Mus musculus: one gene and its partners. The protein of the gene in region 2 purifies or fractionates together with the protein of the main gene of each other region. This does not show direct contact. Links are inferred from orthologs where the notes say so. Each region holds a gene or a part of one and is shown on either strand. Other genes may lie near its edges.

Region 1 (4,604 bases), on a different chromosome or scaffold from region 2:
AAGGGTCTACTCTTAGATAAGCCCAACTCTCTGTTGCCTGGGATAATTGAGTGGGTTCGGTCTGTGTCAGAAAGGGTTGCTCTTTGTGGTCCAGCCCTGAGGAAGGAGGGTGTGGAAGTGAGTGAGGAGAGCAGGCTCTGCTCCCTTTGATGCTGACTGTGAGGACCTTAGCTTGAACTTGGCCTTTACCGTCATCCCAGTTGATATCCGAGAAATCAAGGAGATCCGTCCAGGGAAGACTTCTCGGGACTTTGACCGCTACCAAGAAGACCCTGCCTTCCGGCCAGATCAATCACACTGCTTTGTCATCCTCTATGGAATGGAATTCCGCTTGAAGACCCTGAGCCTGCAAGGTGGGAGACATGGGCTGAGAGGAGGTGGGGTGTAGGTAAGGGGAGCCCAAGCACTTGCTCTTGTGGGAGCTGTGTGCCCTTGGTTCAGCCACTGCTCTGCTCACAGCCACATCTGAGGATGAAGTGAACATGTGGATCAAGGGCTTAACTTGGCTAATGGAGGATACACTGCAGGCAGCCACACCCCTGCAAATTGAGAGGTAAGAATCGTCTTCATGTGGTTAAAACTGTGCATCTCGGAACCAAGGGAAGAGACAGAGACTTCAGGTCTCCTGGGCACACGGTAACTTCTCTTCTACCCAGGCTTTACCTTAGCTGAGAAGAGGCCCTTACCTCAGGCTTTTCTCTCTTCAGGTGGCTCCGGAAGCAGTTCTACTCAGTGGATCGTAACCGAGAGGATCGGTAGGTGCTAAGCTGAGGCGGATGCCTAACCAGTGGGTAGAGGCACCCAGAGCATTGGAGCCAGAGGGTCCATAGAACTGAGTTACATTGGGAGGGGTTAGGGGCTCTGACACAAAAGTAGTCCATGCTGCTGAGCGTGGGGTACAGAGATAGTGCTGGACTTCTAGGTGTAACTGGCAATGCAGCCAGAGCACCAGGAGCTGGAGGAAGCAGAGACCAGATGGCCTGCTGTCAGTGCTGCTTTGTACTGTTGCAAGGTCCCCCAGAGGCAGGAAGCCATGGGATGTGTAGAGGAGTGACCTGCTCTGACCTAGAGTTTCCCCAGTGTCCTACATAGGCTTACAATTGCTGCAGTGAAACACCATGAACGAACAGCTTGGGGAGGTAAGGGTTTATTCAGCTTCAATTGGCTTCCTCGTTGCTGTTGATCACCAAAGGAAACCAGCTCAGGAACTCAAACAGTGCAGGATCCTGGAGGCAGGAGCTGATGCAGAGGCCATGGAGGGGTGCTGCTTACTGGCTTGCTCCTCATGGCTTACTCAGCCTGCTTTCTTATAGAGTCCACGACTACCAGCCTAGAGGTGTCCCTACCCACCAACATAGAGCTGGGCCCTCCCACACCAATCACTAATTAAGAAAATGCCCTGCAGGCTTGCCTACAGCTGGATCTTACAGAGGCATTTTCTCAATCGAAGCTCTCTCTTTTACCGATGACTCTGGCTTGTGTCAAGAAGACATAAAACTAGGCAAACACAACCAAGATCATACTGCTGTAGAGGGCTGTTAGACACTGTCCGACCATTCTGGGTGTAGGTGAGAGGGCTCAGGTTGAGGTAATAATAGTAGGAATTAGCTGGATTTGGGCTATGTTCTTTGTTTAAAATTGCATCTAAAAAGTCAGAGATCAATAGGCTTTTGACATGCGCAACTGGGAAGTAAAGTTGCCATTGGCTGAGACAAGAAGACAGTGGGAGGAACTTACTGTGGGAGCTTAGGGTCCAGTATGGATGTAAGTTTTATGGTGCATAATAGATTCCCAGGTAGAGAGGTATGGAGTTACCAGGCTGGTAGAATGAGTTCAAATGAGGAGGTCGGGCTGGAGGTAGTAACACAGGACTGTGGACAGGTGAAATGGAAACTCTTGGGGTCCCCAGATAAAAACTCAGGGACCCAGATAGCAAGAAAAGGGAAGAGGCCAAGTGGCAGCTGCAGACTGCTTCCACATGGGAAGCTAGGAAAGGAGGAGTATGCTTAACCCTTCTGAGTAGTCATGTTGTGGGGAAAGCAGCTTCAGTCCGTGGTGAGCAGCTTAGGGGCAGAGGAGATTGCAGGTGAGTCTTGTGAGAGTTTTCCATAGCGCTGGACGGATGGCTCAGCGCTTAAGAGCACTCACTCAGAGGTCAATTCCCAGCAACACATGGTGGCTCACAACCATCTGTAATGGGCTCCAATGCCCTCTTCTGGCGTGTCTGAAGACAGCAACAATGTACTCACATACATCAAATAAATAAATAAATAAATACTCTTAAAAAAGGAGTTTTGCATAGAGGGGAAGGGACAACAAACACAGAATTAAGCAGGGCAGGGTGGAGAGAGCAGTGTGATTTTTATGACAGCGGGAAAGGGAGGAGACAGGCTTGACTGCAGCTTCCTGGCTGACTGAGGGTCAGGTGACCCAATGCTCCCCGCAGAGCCTTGACTCTAGGGCATTGGTTCTCAACCTGTGGGTCTCGACCCCTGTGGGGGGGGTTGGATGACCCTTTCCCAGGAGTCACCTAAGACTTTCTGCACAGCAGACATTTACATTAGGATTCATAACAGTAGCAAAGTTACAGTTAGGAAGTAGTGATAAAATAATTTTCTAGTTGGAGGTCACCACAACGTGAGGAGGAACTGTATTAAAAGGGCGCAGCATTACTTTGGGAACTACCTGTTCCAGGACATTCAATTATTGGTGAAGATCCGAGCCTTAGGGAATTTTGGTCTTTCGTGCCTGGCTTTAGGCCAGAAGAGGGTGTGTTCTCTCTCCAGCACCCACTCCTCCCAGGAGAGCATCCTTTTCCAGCTTTTTCATCCTGTTGTTGTCCAAGCTGCTATGCTTAGAGGGTAGAGTGCGCTGATGCTCTCTTCTCTCTCTGTCTCCCTCTCCTCTCCCTCTTCTCTCTTCCCTTCTGTCCCTCTCTCTGAGTTCTTTTCCTGGAGCCTCAGGAGTGTGCTCAGCAGCAGCAGTTACACATGGCTAAGGGTGCCCGCGCTCCCTTCCCTGCTACCTATCCTGGGGACTGTGGGTCCTAGGATGCCTCCGTTAGTGGCAGTGGGCACTGCCCTGCCCTGTACAGGCAGCAGATCAGAGCTGGGGGCAACTGCTGGAAATGGCTTATTCTGCCTCCCATCCCAGCCTGACCTGCTTTCCTCTGCTTTCCTGAGCTTGGTCACTTGTGGCTATTGGGCTTTTTCTCTTTCACTGCAGAAACTTGAGGCCCAGAGAAAGGCAGGAACTCGCTCCATCTAGCACAGCATGAAGTTTGAAAGAGTGTTGCTCTTAAGACTGCAGGTTCCCAGAGTATAGGTGTTTACCTGTCCATCCTTAGGTTCAGCCTAAAGTCAAAAGGGAATCCTTTTTCTCCCCTTAGTATATCAGCCAAGGACTTGAAGAACATGCTGTCTCAGGTCAACTACCGAGTCCCCAATATGCGCTTCCTCCGAGAGCGGCTGACGGTAATGGACACTTGGGGCTATCCTCTGGCAAGGAAGGGGAGGCCAGTGACTCCTCCTAAGGGGCTTGACTGGCAGTTTTGCTCTGTACTATGTAGGACCTTGAACAGCGCAGCGGGGACATCACCTACGGGCAGTTTGCTCAGCTGTACCGCAGCCTCATGTACAGCGCCCAGAAGACGGTGCATGAACCTCCCACCCTCCCTGTCCTTGGCCCAACTCCTCTGCCTTCTCTCATAGCCCTGCTGCCCTGCTTTGGAGTGGTTTTGGTGCCATTACTCTAGCCACACACACCCCTCCCCCGGGGCATCTGCTCCCTAGCCTTTTCTTAAGAGCCCCTTTCCTGCATGGCCTCCCAGGGCTCCTCCTGACCAGATTCTGTTCTCTGCAGATGGACCTTCCCTTCTTGGAAACCAACGCTTTGAGGTTTGGTTTGGAACAGCCAATTGGGCTTTTTCTCTGGGTGGTTTCAGATCCAGGTGGGAAGCAGTGGGTAGATGGGGATGGGGCATAATAAACCACTGGGTATCTACACTAGACGGGGGCCCTTTGTCAGCCAGTGCCAGACACTAGGTTTTCTCCCTACAGGACTGGAGAGCGTCCGGAGCATTGCCAGGTGTCCCTTTCTGAGTTCCAGCAGTTCCTCCTTGAATACCAGGGGGTATGTCTGGGCCAGGGAGTTAGGCTGCAGGGTGGCTTCATCATTGGTGGCCTCCTCCATGACTTCTTTACCTGGCAGGAGCTGTGGGCTGTCGACCGGCTCCAGGTGCAGGAATTCATGCTCAGCTTCCTTCGAGACCCCTTGCGAGAGATTGAGGAGCCATACTTCTTCTTGGATGAGGTGAGCCTCACCTTTCCCACCATTCTGTTAGAGAAAGCAGGTGGGGTGGGTGACCAGAGCTGACCTGTGCTCTAAAAGCTGTGCATGCACTCTACTGCCTACTTTGCCAGTGGAGTCGAGACTCAGCACATTCTTGTACCTACTTCCATCCCAAGTGGCAGCCAGCACTCATTCACTTTCTCCTCCACATTTATCCTTGTAGCTTGTCACCTTCCTGTTCTCCAAAGAGAACAGCGTGTGGAACTCACAGCTGGATGCTGTGTGCCCGGACACCATGAACAACCCACTCTCTC
Region 2 (5,404 bases):
GTATTCTGAAGATTAAGACTGAGTTGTTTTGAGTTCAAAGCCACTCTGGGTTAGAGAGTGAGTCACTGACTCTGCAGTGAAAACACGTGTTAAGGAAAAATGAAAGTATTTGTCTTTTTGAAAGAGTGCAGGGGGATCCCTTGTGAAGGACCAGCATTCAGAGCAGGAGTACTAGGAGCTCTGAGAACTAGGCAGCCAACATGGGCTAAGGACTGGCCCTGGAGTCACCGTTTTACAGAATAAACAGAAGGTGGCAACAAAACAATTCAGTCTAACAGGTGCTAGGACTGCAGTTTGTCAGAGACCTAATATAAGATGCTTCTTAGTTTGTTTTTGGGGGACAGGGTGGCCTGTCCTAGGTGGCCTGTAGCTGTGCTGTGTATGTAGGCCAGACTTGTCTCAAACATGAGGTAATTCTGTGGCTTTTCCTCCTCAGCGCTAGGATGCATAACCACCTCATCCCCTTAGTATGGCTGGACATGAAGGCCTCTATGTGCAAGTAGAGGTCAGAAAACTTGGGAGAGCTGGTTCTCTCCTATTTTGGGCCTGGGGCTAGAACTCAGGTTGATAATAGTCCCCTCCACCCCCAACGAAATAAGCTAATTCAAGAATAATTTTTTTTAAAAAGGCATATCTATTTGGAAATGGGTTCCCGGGTGAGTCCACCAGCCTCAGAGGTCGGGGGCAGAGTATGGCTGGTACTTTTTTGATAGATTGTAGGCGAAGAAAATGACAAGTCTACCACAAGCTGGGCTTGTGCCCAGGTATGGTCATCTAGGGTGGGGCTTGGGTGGCTGGTGACTAAAGATGAGGATTAGTACAGTCAGGAATTCAGGACTGGATTTTTTGGCGCCTTTTTGTGTTCTGAGGCTTTCTGAGTAGGCGGGGTTGGAAGGAGAGAGAGAGAGAAAATTTGGAATTTACCGGGGATGAGTGGGTGGGGAACAAGCCAACAAGCCGGGGACTCCAAAAACAGGTGATAAGCAGCATTACCAGTTGACCCGACCCCAAATGCATCTTTTAATAATTCTCTCACTAGTTTTGAACCTGCTCTAATGGAAATCTTGCCGACTGACTTCCTGGATGCCCTACTTGGGTATGGAGGGAGCCCTTTTCTTCCGGTCTTTGCGTCTCTGACTGACCCCTTCGACTCCTTCTGAGTTTCAGTTCTGCAACACACAGCATTCCCCATTCCTGGCTTCCCTTTCGCACACTCATCACTTATCTCTGGGTCAGCCTCCTCCCTCCCACCACGCCCGCCCGCATCCCCATCTTCCCATCCCGTTCGCTCGCGCAGTCTTTCCCTCTCTTCCGGCTTCACTTGGCTCTAACCCTCGCGTCCCCCTCTCTCCAGAAGCGTTCTTTTCATTTCCCGGTTGGAGGGGCGGCCCCCGATTCCACTCCGGGGCACCGCTCCCTCGGGGACCTCCCCAGGCTCGGCCGTTGAAGGAGGCGTGGCGCACGAATAACAGGTCTCCTGCCGCACACTCCGCGGGCCCGAGCGCAGACAAAGACATTCCACGGCGCCCGCCCCCTCCGCGCACTCCGCCCGGGGGAGGGGGAGGGGAGACACGTGTACCGCTAGCGCCGGGTCACGTGGAAAAGAAAAAGAAATGAAGGAAGGCGGCGGGCGCCCGCGCAGGCGCCCTAAGCTCGGAGCCCAAGCGGGGAGGCGACGTCTTCAGTCGGCGCAGGCGCCGTGGTCCAACTGGGGACTTTGTTCTCCGCGGAGAAACTCAAGGGCGGTGCCGGTAGGCGCCTGCGCACGCGCGCCGCCTCATTTCCGGTGCTCTCTCGCTGGGTCGCTCGGGTCGGCTTCGGTCGCTGTCGCTCCTGTTCTTCCACCCCCGCCAACCGCCGCTCGGGCCTCAGCTGCCGCCGCGTCGCTTCCTCGCTCGTTCGCTCGCCACCCATCATCCCCGATGCAGCGCCGGGACGATCCTGCCTCGCGCCTCACCCGGTCCTCGGGCCGCAGCTGCTCCAAGGACCCGTCAGGTGCCCACCCCTCGGTGCGTCTGACCCCGTCTCGGCCGTCGCCGCTTCCTCACCGGCCCCGGGGAGGGGGAGGTGGGCCCAGAGGAGGCGCTCGGGCCTCGCCCGCCACCCAGCCGCCGCCGCTGCTGCCTCCCTCCACCCCTGGTCCCGACGCGACGGTGGTGGGTTCCGCGCCGACCCCGCTGCTGCCCCCGTCAGCCACAGCCGCGGTCAAGATGGAGCCGGAGAATAAGTACCTGCCTGAACTCATGGCCGAGAAGGACTCGCTCGACCCGTCCTTCACTCACGCCATGCAGCTGCTGTCCGTAGGTAAGCGGTTCTTGGCGGGTCCTCTGGGTCTCCCGGTCCTGACTGTGGGTGGCCGCCGCTTTGTTCTTGCTCCCACCCCCTCGGAGCCCGGGCATCGAGAGTTGTCATCTCGACCTGGCCTTCGAGATTCTGCACCCACAGTCCCACCCGGGCTCAGGGTGTAAGGGAAGATTTCTGAGCCACGGACGAGGCCCGAAGAGGACTCGCGATCTCAGAGCGCGGAGAGCTTGATGGATAGTACCGTGCTCCCGCCCCCTTCTCCTCCCGTAGTAGTTGCCCCGCGCGCCAAGGGCCGGCTCTTAACAGAAATGAACCTATTTCTCCCCGCTTTCCCAAAGAGGAAACATTTGGGGGGGGGAATCGCGGGTGATGGAGACCTGGGGTGTAAGGTAGAGATAGCCGGAATGCCGGTCCCGCACAGCGCATCTACGGAGCGGGGCGGGATTTAGCGGGAACTCGGGTTTAAGTTCATTAGAGGTCGGGGCGACGAGAGAATCCGTGAGCTTGAGGTTTTCTCAAGCCAAGCTTTCCATTTCGGCCTGTCGAGTAAGAATTGCTGCAGACCCGGATGGTTTCTCTGTTTTATTTTGAAATGTGTTTCTGAAGTTATGCAAAAGTGTGTGTGTGTGTGGGGGGGGGGTTGTGATAGCCCAGGAGACCGTAGAAAGAAATGATAGAGGGAGGTAAGGGGCGGCAGGCAGGTTCTTTTGCGTGAGATGAACGAGAAATTGGTCTTTTTGTTTTAGTTTTTGCTGGAGTAGAGATAGTTTAAGAATGGTAGTCTTTGTTCTCTGATTGTAGACTATGGAGCTCTCTTCTCCGGACTTGAGCGACTTAGATATTTTTCCTTATTCAAACCGCCGCCTGTTGTTAGACATGGTTTTAGTATTTTTTATGATATCGAATTTTTTTTTTTTTTTGATTTTGGTTTTTCGATACAGGGTTTCTGTATAGCCCTGGCTGTCTTGGAACTCACTTTGTAGACCAGGCTGGCCTCGAACTCAGAAATTCGCCTGCCTCTGCCTCCCGAGTGCTGGGATTAAAGGCGTGCGCCACCACTGCCCGGCTGATATCTAATTTTTATTAAGCATCTAATACCCACAGTCTGTCCTACTGGTTGAATAGTTGGACTGTTGAGGGGCTGATGGAACCTTGTCACCAGACAAAAACTGGGAAGGTTGAGCGGATTCAGAAACCCTACTCTGAACCTGGAACACTTGACCAAGACACCCCATGAGTCAGTCACACGGGGTGTTAAACCCCCCCCCCAACACCTGAAGGCCCTCCCTCCACATGCAGATGTAGCATCCCTAACTTCTCCGACCAAGCCAATAGAAAGCATCTGCTTTTAGATCCCACCCCACCCCAAAATGTATATTAGACCCTAGCCACAAGGAATAAAGGTTATTTCATCAAAGACTGCCTGAGAGCTTCAGAATTCTCCCCCCTCTCCTTTGGAGAGCAATGCTCCAGAGCCCCCAGATCTCCTCTGATAGCGTCCAGTACACAGAGCATTGCACTCTGGCCAGAACGATATCGTGGACAGTTCATTGTGAAAGAGCACTATCTAATGGAGAGACAAATCAGCCTTTAAGAGCACTGTCTGCTCTTCCACAGGGGTTCAGTTCCCAGCACCCACATCAGAAGGCTTTCAGACACCTGTAACTTCAGTACTGGGGGATCCTGTTTTTGTTTTCTTTGGTGGTTTTTTTTTTTTTTTTTTTTTTTTTTTGGTTTCTCTGTATAGCCCTGGCTGTCCTGGAACTCACTTTGTAGACCAGGCTGGCCTCGAACTCAGAAATCCGCCTGCCTCTGCCTCCCAAGTGCTGGGATTAAAGGCGTGCACCACCACGCCCGGCTGTTTTCTTTGTTTTTTTTTGTTGTTGTTGTTTTTTCGAGACAGGGTTTCTCTGTATAGACCTGGCTGTCCTGGAACTCATTTTGTTGACCAGGCTGGCCTCTGCCTCCCAAGTGCTGTGATTAAAGGCATGCACCACCACCACCGGCCTGATGTTATCTTATGTCCTACACAGGTACTCAAAATACAAAGCTGAAAAGAAATAAAAGGAATATACCATTTTCCCTTCATCTGCTCTCTGTTTCCCAGCATTGTTGAAGGGGATTTACCGTTTGTATAATGCAAAAAGGTCACGGATCTACAATGACTTAAAGACCTGCTTTTCTTTCCAGTCAAATATGAAAACAGCAAATAAGGGCCTTTGAAGCACAGTAAACAAAACCTGTGGTCAGTGAATAGAAACATCAACTCTGTGCATGTCAGCTTGGTACCTCTATTCTGTAATACTTGGGCTCTTACGTTTCTGTTCTTTTGTTCTGACAACTTAGTAAAATTTTGATTTTTTTTTTTCCTTTTTTTTCTTTTTTAAAAAAAAAAAGGTCTCAAGTAGCTGAGGCTGGGTACTCTCTGTATAGCCACTGGTGACCTTGAATTTGTGGTCCATTTCCTCGAGGGTTTGGGAAGTGAGCCCCACCACACTCAGTTTGTGCAATGCCTAGGATCAGACATAGTACTCTACTAACTGATTTACAATTTGGGTCATTATTTTTTATATTTTTTTCATACTGGCTTGCAAATAGCAAACACCTGTGTTTGATTGGCACTTCGAATAAGTACCTGCAGACTGAAGAATACCATTATGGTAGAGGTTGACTTGCTAATCTTATTTTTATTTCCTCAAATCTTTACAACCTGTCAGATTAATTGCTGAAGAGTTATGTCAATTTTAAGATGTTAACTTTGGAGAGTGACCCTTAGTGACTTGGTCCTGTGAAATTGACTAAGACTGCGGTGTCATCTCTAAAGTAGTGAGTGTGAGGTCTGTTATATGTAAAATCAGCCAGGTTCCTTTGACCTGTACTCACTAGATAAAATGTCACCATGGTTTTCTTTTGGTATAATTCCTATATATATAAGGCATAATGTGGCCTTTCTGACATCAAGTACGGTGATCATTCTCTTTTTAACGGATTTTTGGGGTTCACAAAAATAGTTTCTTTTTTTCTTTTTCTTTTTTTTTTGACCTAGCTTTATTTTATTTTATTTATTTATTTGTTTTTGTTTTTGTTTTTTTTTTTTTGT
Region 3 (4,604 bases), about 190 kb from region 2:
TTTTTGTTTTTCAAGACAGGGTTTCTCTGTGTACCCCTGGCTGTCCTGGAACTCTGTAAATCAAGCTGGCCTCAAACTCAGAGATTCATGTGTTTCTGGGATTAAAGGTGTGTGCCACCATCTTCAGCTTAAAATTTTATTTCTATAAGTGTGTTTTCCATGTACACATATCGCATGTGTGCAGTGCTCAAGGAGGCCAGAAGAGGGCACTAAATTCTCTGGAACTGGAATTACAGACAGCTGTAATCTGCTTTATGGGTGTTGAGATCTGAACCCAGGTCCTCTGGAAGAGCAGCCAGTGCTCGTAGCTACTAAGCCATCTCTCCAGTCTCCCCATCCCCCTCAGACAACAATTTTTAAGTATGGGATCTCAGTCAGGCCACCATGCCTTTAATCTCAATACTCAGGAGGCAGAGGCAATCAGATCTCTGGGAGTTCAAGGACATCCTGGTCTACAAAGTGAGTTCCAAGAGAGCCAAGGACTATACAGAGAAACCCTGTCCCCAAAAAATCAAAAATATGAATGAATGAATGAATGAATGAATGAATGCAGGTTCTCTTCTTCTACCTTTCCAGGAATACCGGGGATTGAACTTGGTTCATCAGGCTTCCTCAGCAAGTCACCCAAGCTTGGGTCACCTGAGAGTGTCTCGGGAGTCTTTGGTTGTTTTTGTTTTCATTAATGGAATGCTGACCAACACAGGTAAGGTTCAGAATATGGAACTACCAATCCAACCTGATGCTAGTCTTCATTAAGGTAAGGCACACTAGCATTTCCTGCTGAATGAATGTCAGGCCCACACCTATAGTGCCTACACACACTCAATAACATACATGCCAGCCGCAGGACCTTGACTGGGCCACCTCCTCGGCTTCCTCTTCTGGCATAGCGTGAATCACCGAGTTTTAACGAGGACTGAAGGATCAGTGTATATAAGAGGTACCTGACTAGGGGTGTTCTTTTATAAGGTGTACCTGGGGTTGTTCGTATTTGATGGCAATGATGGGGTAGTCAGGGCTCAGGATGGGATGAGAGCCCACAGCCAGGGCAATGTTGAGGTATCTCTAGCTTTTGGGCCTAAGCACAGGAGATGAATACTGGGCTGTGAGATAGAACAAGCCCAGAGCTGGGAACACTTCTAGCCTCTAACTGTGAGATTCAAAGTGCCTTTACATTCCTGGGATCAAATTTCAATGCCTGTTGCCCTGGGCCTGTGGGAAGTTTCTGCCAATCTGACCTCTGAACTCTATAACCTCCTACTATTTTCTGTGGCATTTTCTTTCCACAGAGGTTATCAAATTCCTTCTAGAAAAATCCCACCCCCAGGCTTAGAAGCATGGCTCAGGGGCAGCACACTTACCTTGCGTGCACAGGACCTGGGTTTGATCCCCAGGTACATAGGCACATGCTTGCTGTAATACAAGCACCTCCCAGTGAGGCAGAAGCAGGAATACTGGGAGCTCAGGGGACATCTTCAGATTCATAGAGTGTTAGAGGTCAGCTTAAGCTATGTAAGACATTGTCTCCAAAAAAAAAAAAAAAAAAAAAAAAAAAAAAAAAAAAACAACCTAATGGCTAAAAAACAAACATTCAATAAAATCGGGATAAAGGCCTTTCCTAGAAGGAGGGATCTACATGGTTTCTCTCTTTAGCTGTGACATCTCAGTAGGAAAGCACCAGTGCTTACTAAGCAGCTCCCATGCAAGTGTTTCACAAAGTCTCTTGTTCTATGTATGGGGAAACAGGCTCAGAGGGCAACATAACGTACCCAGAGTAATGACTAGTAATGGCTTAGTGTGGCCTAAGCACTATTCTGATCTCCTATTAAGAAACTGGAGGTCAGGCAGTGGTGGCACACTTTTAATCCCAGCATTTTGGAGACAGAGACAAATGGATGTCTGAGTTTTGAGGCCAGCCTGGTTTACATGGTGAGTTCCTGGACAGCCAGGGCCAAACAGAGAAACCTTTACCTCCTGTCCACCTCTGACATACTAGGTGGCCTCTGCCATAACCAAGCAAGGAAGAACTGGAGTTTTTGAGAAGTGTGGGGACTCAGAGGCAGAGATGGAATGAAGCATCTAACAGAAGATTTCGGAGTCACAGGCCCAAGTGGATGGGAGAGAAGCAACTCAGAGTTTCAGAGTCTGAGCCTGGGTAGAGGTGAGCAGGAAGGTATGGCTTGGCTCCCCTTCCTTGAAGACTTAGAGTTGCTTGTCTTAAGGAAAGCTCACCTGGGTAAGGGATTCGACCGTGGGTGACGATCTCTGTAAGCAAGATCCCGAAGGACCACACGTCTGACTTGATGGTGAAGGTCCCATAGTTAATGGCTTCTGGTGCTGTCCACTTAATGGGAAATTTGGCCCCTAGAGAGAAGCAAAGTTAGTCCCCCTGTGTGTGCTTGCTCTCCTGCTGGCCATGAACCTCCTCTCTATCCCACACCTACCCTCCCGGGCCGTGTACTCATTGTCCTCAATGAGGCGCGCCAGGCCAAAGTCTGCAATCTTGCAGCTCAGCGTGTCAGACACCAGGATGTTGGCGGCGCGCAGGTCCCGATGGATGTAATTCTGTTCTTCGATGAACGCCATGCCCTCTGCAATCTGCAGGCCAGGAATAGGTCACCAGTCCTTACCCCACTGATCTGTAGCCATACCCAGCCCTTTGCCCGGCTCCTTACCTGGGCTGCCATGTCCAAAAGTTTGTTGACATTCAACTTGATGCCCGAGGGAGTCTTGAGAAAATCTACTAGGCTCCCTGTGAGCAAAAGCAAGAGTTGTTGACTTAAATTGCCCAGGACGAAGCCCGTAGACCCTTCCAGATCCACCTAGATCCACCTAGGATCCACCTAGGATCTGGAAGCAGTGCCTGACCGTGGCAAGGAAGAATGAGGACTGAGAAAAAGTGTGTGCTTGGGGGTCGAAGGGGGGGATGATGTGAGCAAGGGAAGAGAATGCTTGTGCAAGGTGGGGATGCTGTGCACAAGGGGGGGGGATGCTGTGCACAAGAGGGGGATGCTGTGCACAGGGGGGATGCTGTGCACAAGAGGGGGATGCTGTGCACAGGGAGAATGCTGTGCACAAGAGGGGGATGCTGTGCACAAGGAGGGATGCTGTGCACAAGGGGAGATGCTGTGCACAAGGGGGGATGCTGTGCACAAGGAGGGATGCTGTGCACAAGGGGGGATGCTGTGCACAAGGGGGAGATGCTGTGCACAAGGGGGGATACTGTGCACAAGAGGGGGATGCTGTGCACAAGGGGGGATGCTGTGCACAAGGAGGGATGCTGTGCACAAGGGGGGATGCTGTGCATAAGGGAGATGCTGTGCACAAGGAGGGATGCTGTGCACAAGGAGGGATGCTGTTCACAAGGGGGGATGCTGTGCATAAGGGAGATGCTGTGCACAAGGGGGATGCTGTGCACAAGAGGGGGATGCTGTGCACAAGGAGGGATGCTGTGCATAAGGGAGATGCTGTGCACAAGGAGGGATGCTGTGCACAAGGAGGGATGCTGTGCACAAGGGGGGATGCTGTGCACAAGGGGGTATGCTGTGCACAAGAGGGGGATGCTGTGCACAAGGAGGGATGCTGTGCACAAGGAGGGATGCTGTGCACAAAGGGGGATGCTGTGCACAAGGAGGTGATGCTGTGTACAAGGGGGGATACTGTGCACAAGAGGGGGATGCTGTGCATAAGAGGGGGATGCTGTGCATAAGGGAGATGCTGTGTACAAGAGGGGAATGCTGTGCATAAGGGAGATGCTGTGTACAAGAGGGGGATGCTGTGCATAAGGGGGATGCTGTGCATAAGGGAGATGCTGTGTACAAGAGGGGGATGCTGTGCATAAGGGGATGCTGTGCATAAGGGGGGTGCTGTGCACAAGGGGGATGCTGTGTACAAGGGGGTATGCTGTGCAAAAGAGGGGGATGCTGTGCATAAGGGGGGTGCTGTGCACAAGGGGGATGCTGTGCACAAGGAGGGGATGCTCAGCATATGGGATGGCCTTTTCCAGAGGGCTAGGTTGGGATATGAGCAGAGGATCCAGAGGCTTCTTGCCTCCAGTTAAGACAGAGCCCCATCTCCACAGCAGCCAAAGCTGACATGCTTCATGCCTGTGTCTTCTTCCCAGAGACCTGACTTTCTCTATCACAGATTATTGTTGGATTCTCCACACAGATAGCTAGACTCTTCCTTCAAAGTCTCTTTGCTTCATTTCTTGTCTTCTAGAAGTTTCTCCTTTCCTTTTCCTGCCCAGCTGGACCACTCTTCTACACTGTTCCTACCAGCTGTCATGAATTCCTTCAGCTAATTAGCAGAGCAACTGTGACACACAATTTTAATCCCAGCACTTCGGAGGCAGAGGCAGGCAGATCTTGGAGTTCGGGACCAGGAGAGTCAGGGCTACACAGAGAAACCCTATCCCCCCCCCCAAAAGAAAAATCCCACAAAAAACAATAACAACAAAAAGAGGCCAGGGAGTGGTGATGCACAGCTTTAATCCCTGGGGAGGTGGGAGGCAGAGATGGAGGGATCTCTGTGAGTTCAAAGACAGCCTGGTCTACTGAGTGAGTTCTAGAGCAGAGAAGACTATACAGAGAAACCTTGTGTTA

What was found. The genes of interacting proteins can lie anywhere in the genome.
Region 1: the proteins of Khdrbs1 (region 2) and Plcg1 purify together in Homo sapiens (affinity purification with western blotting; 7 studies listed by BioGRID and IntAct, with this or other methods). This does not show direct contact. The link is inferred for Mus musculus from reciprocal best matches to the Homo sapiens genes KHDRBS1 and PLCG1.
Region 3: the proteins of Khdrbs1 (region 2) and Lck purify together in Homo sapiens (affinity purification with western blotting; 5 studies listed by BioGRID and IntAct, with this or other methods). This does not show direct contact. The link is inferred for Mus musculus from reciprocal best matches to the Homo sapiens genes KHDRBS1 and LCK.

The regions. Positions count from the first base shown.
Region 1 is NC_000068.7:160,747,575-160,752,178, forward strand, and holds part of Plcg1 (1-phosphatidylinositol 4,5-bisphosphate phosphodiesterase gamma-1), read left to right. Parts: intron 1-200; coding exon 201-353; intron 354-459; coding exon 460-553; intron 554-707; coding exon 708-755; intron 756-3,388; coding exon 3,389-3,473; intron 3,474-3,568; coding exon 3,569-3,652; intron 3,653-3,861; coding exon 3,862-3,896; intron 3,897-4,058; coding exon 4,059-4,131; intron 4,132-4,209; coding exon 4,210-4,311; intron 4,312-4,513; coding exon 4,514-4,604. UniProt on the Homo sapiens protein: Mediates the production of the second messenger molecules diacylglycerol (DAG) and inositol 1,4,5-trisphosphate (IP3). Plays an important role in the regulation of intracellular signaling cascades.
Region 2 is NC_000070.6:129,738,679-129,744,082, reverse strand, and holds the start of Khdrbs1 (KH domain-containing, RNA-binding, signal transduction-associated protein 1), read left to right. Parts: upstream 1-1,779; 5' UTR 1,780-1,922; coding exon 1,923-2,304; intron 2,305-5,404. UniProt on the Homo sapiens protein: Recruited and tyrosine phosphorylated by several receptor systems, for example the T-cell, leptin and insulin receptors. Once phosphorylated, functions as an adapter protein in signal transduction cascades by binding to SH2 and SH3 domain-containing proteins.
Region 3 is NC_000070.6:129,549,273-129,553,876, forward strand, and holds part of Lck (proto-oncogene tyrosine-protein kinase LCK), read right to left. Parts: intron 2,753-4,604; coding exon 2,676-2,752; intron 2,599-2,675; coding exon 2,445-2,598; intron 2,365-2,444; coding exon 2,233-2,364; intron 1-2,232. UniProt on the Homo sapiens protein: Non-receptor tyrosine-protein kinase that plays an essential role in the selection and maturation of developing T-cells in the thymus and in the function of mature T-cells. Plays a key role in T-cell antigen receptor (TCR)-linked signal transduction pathways.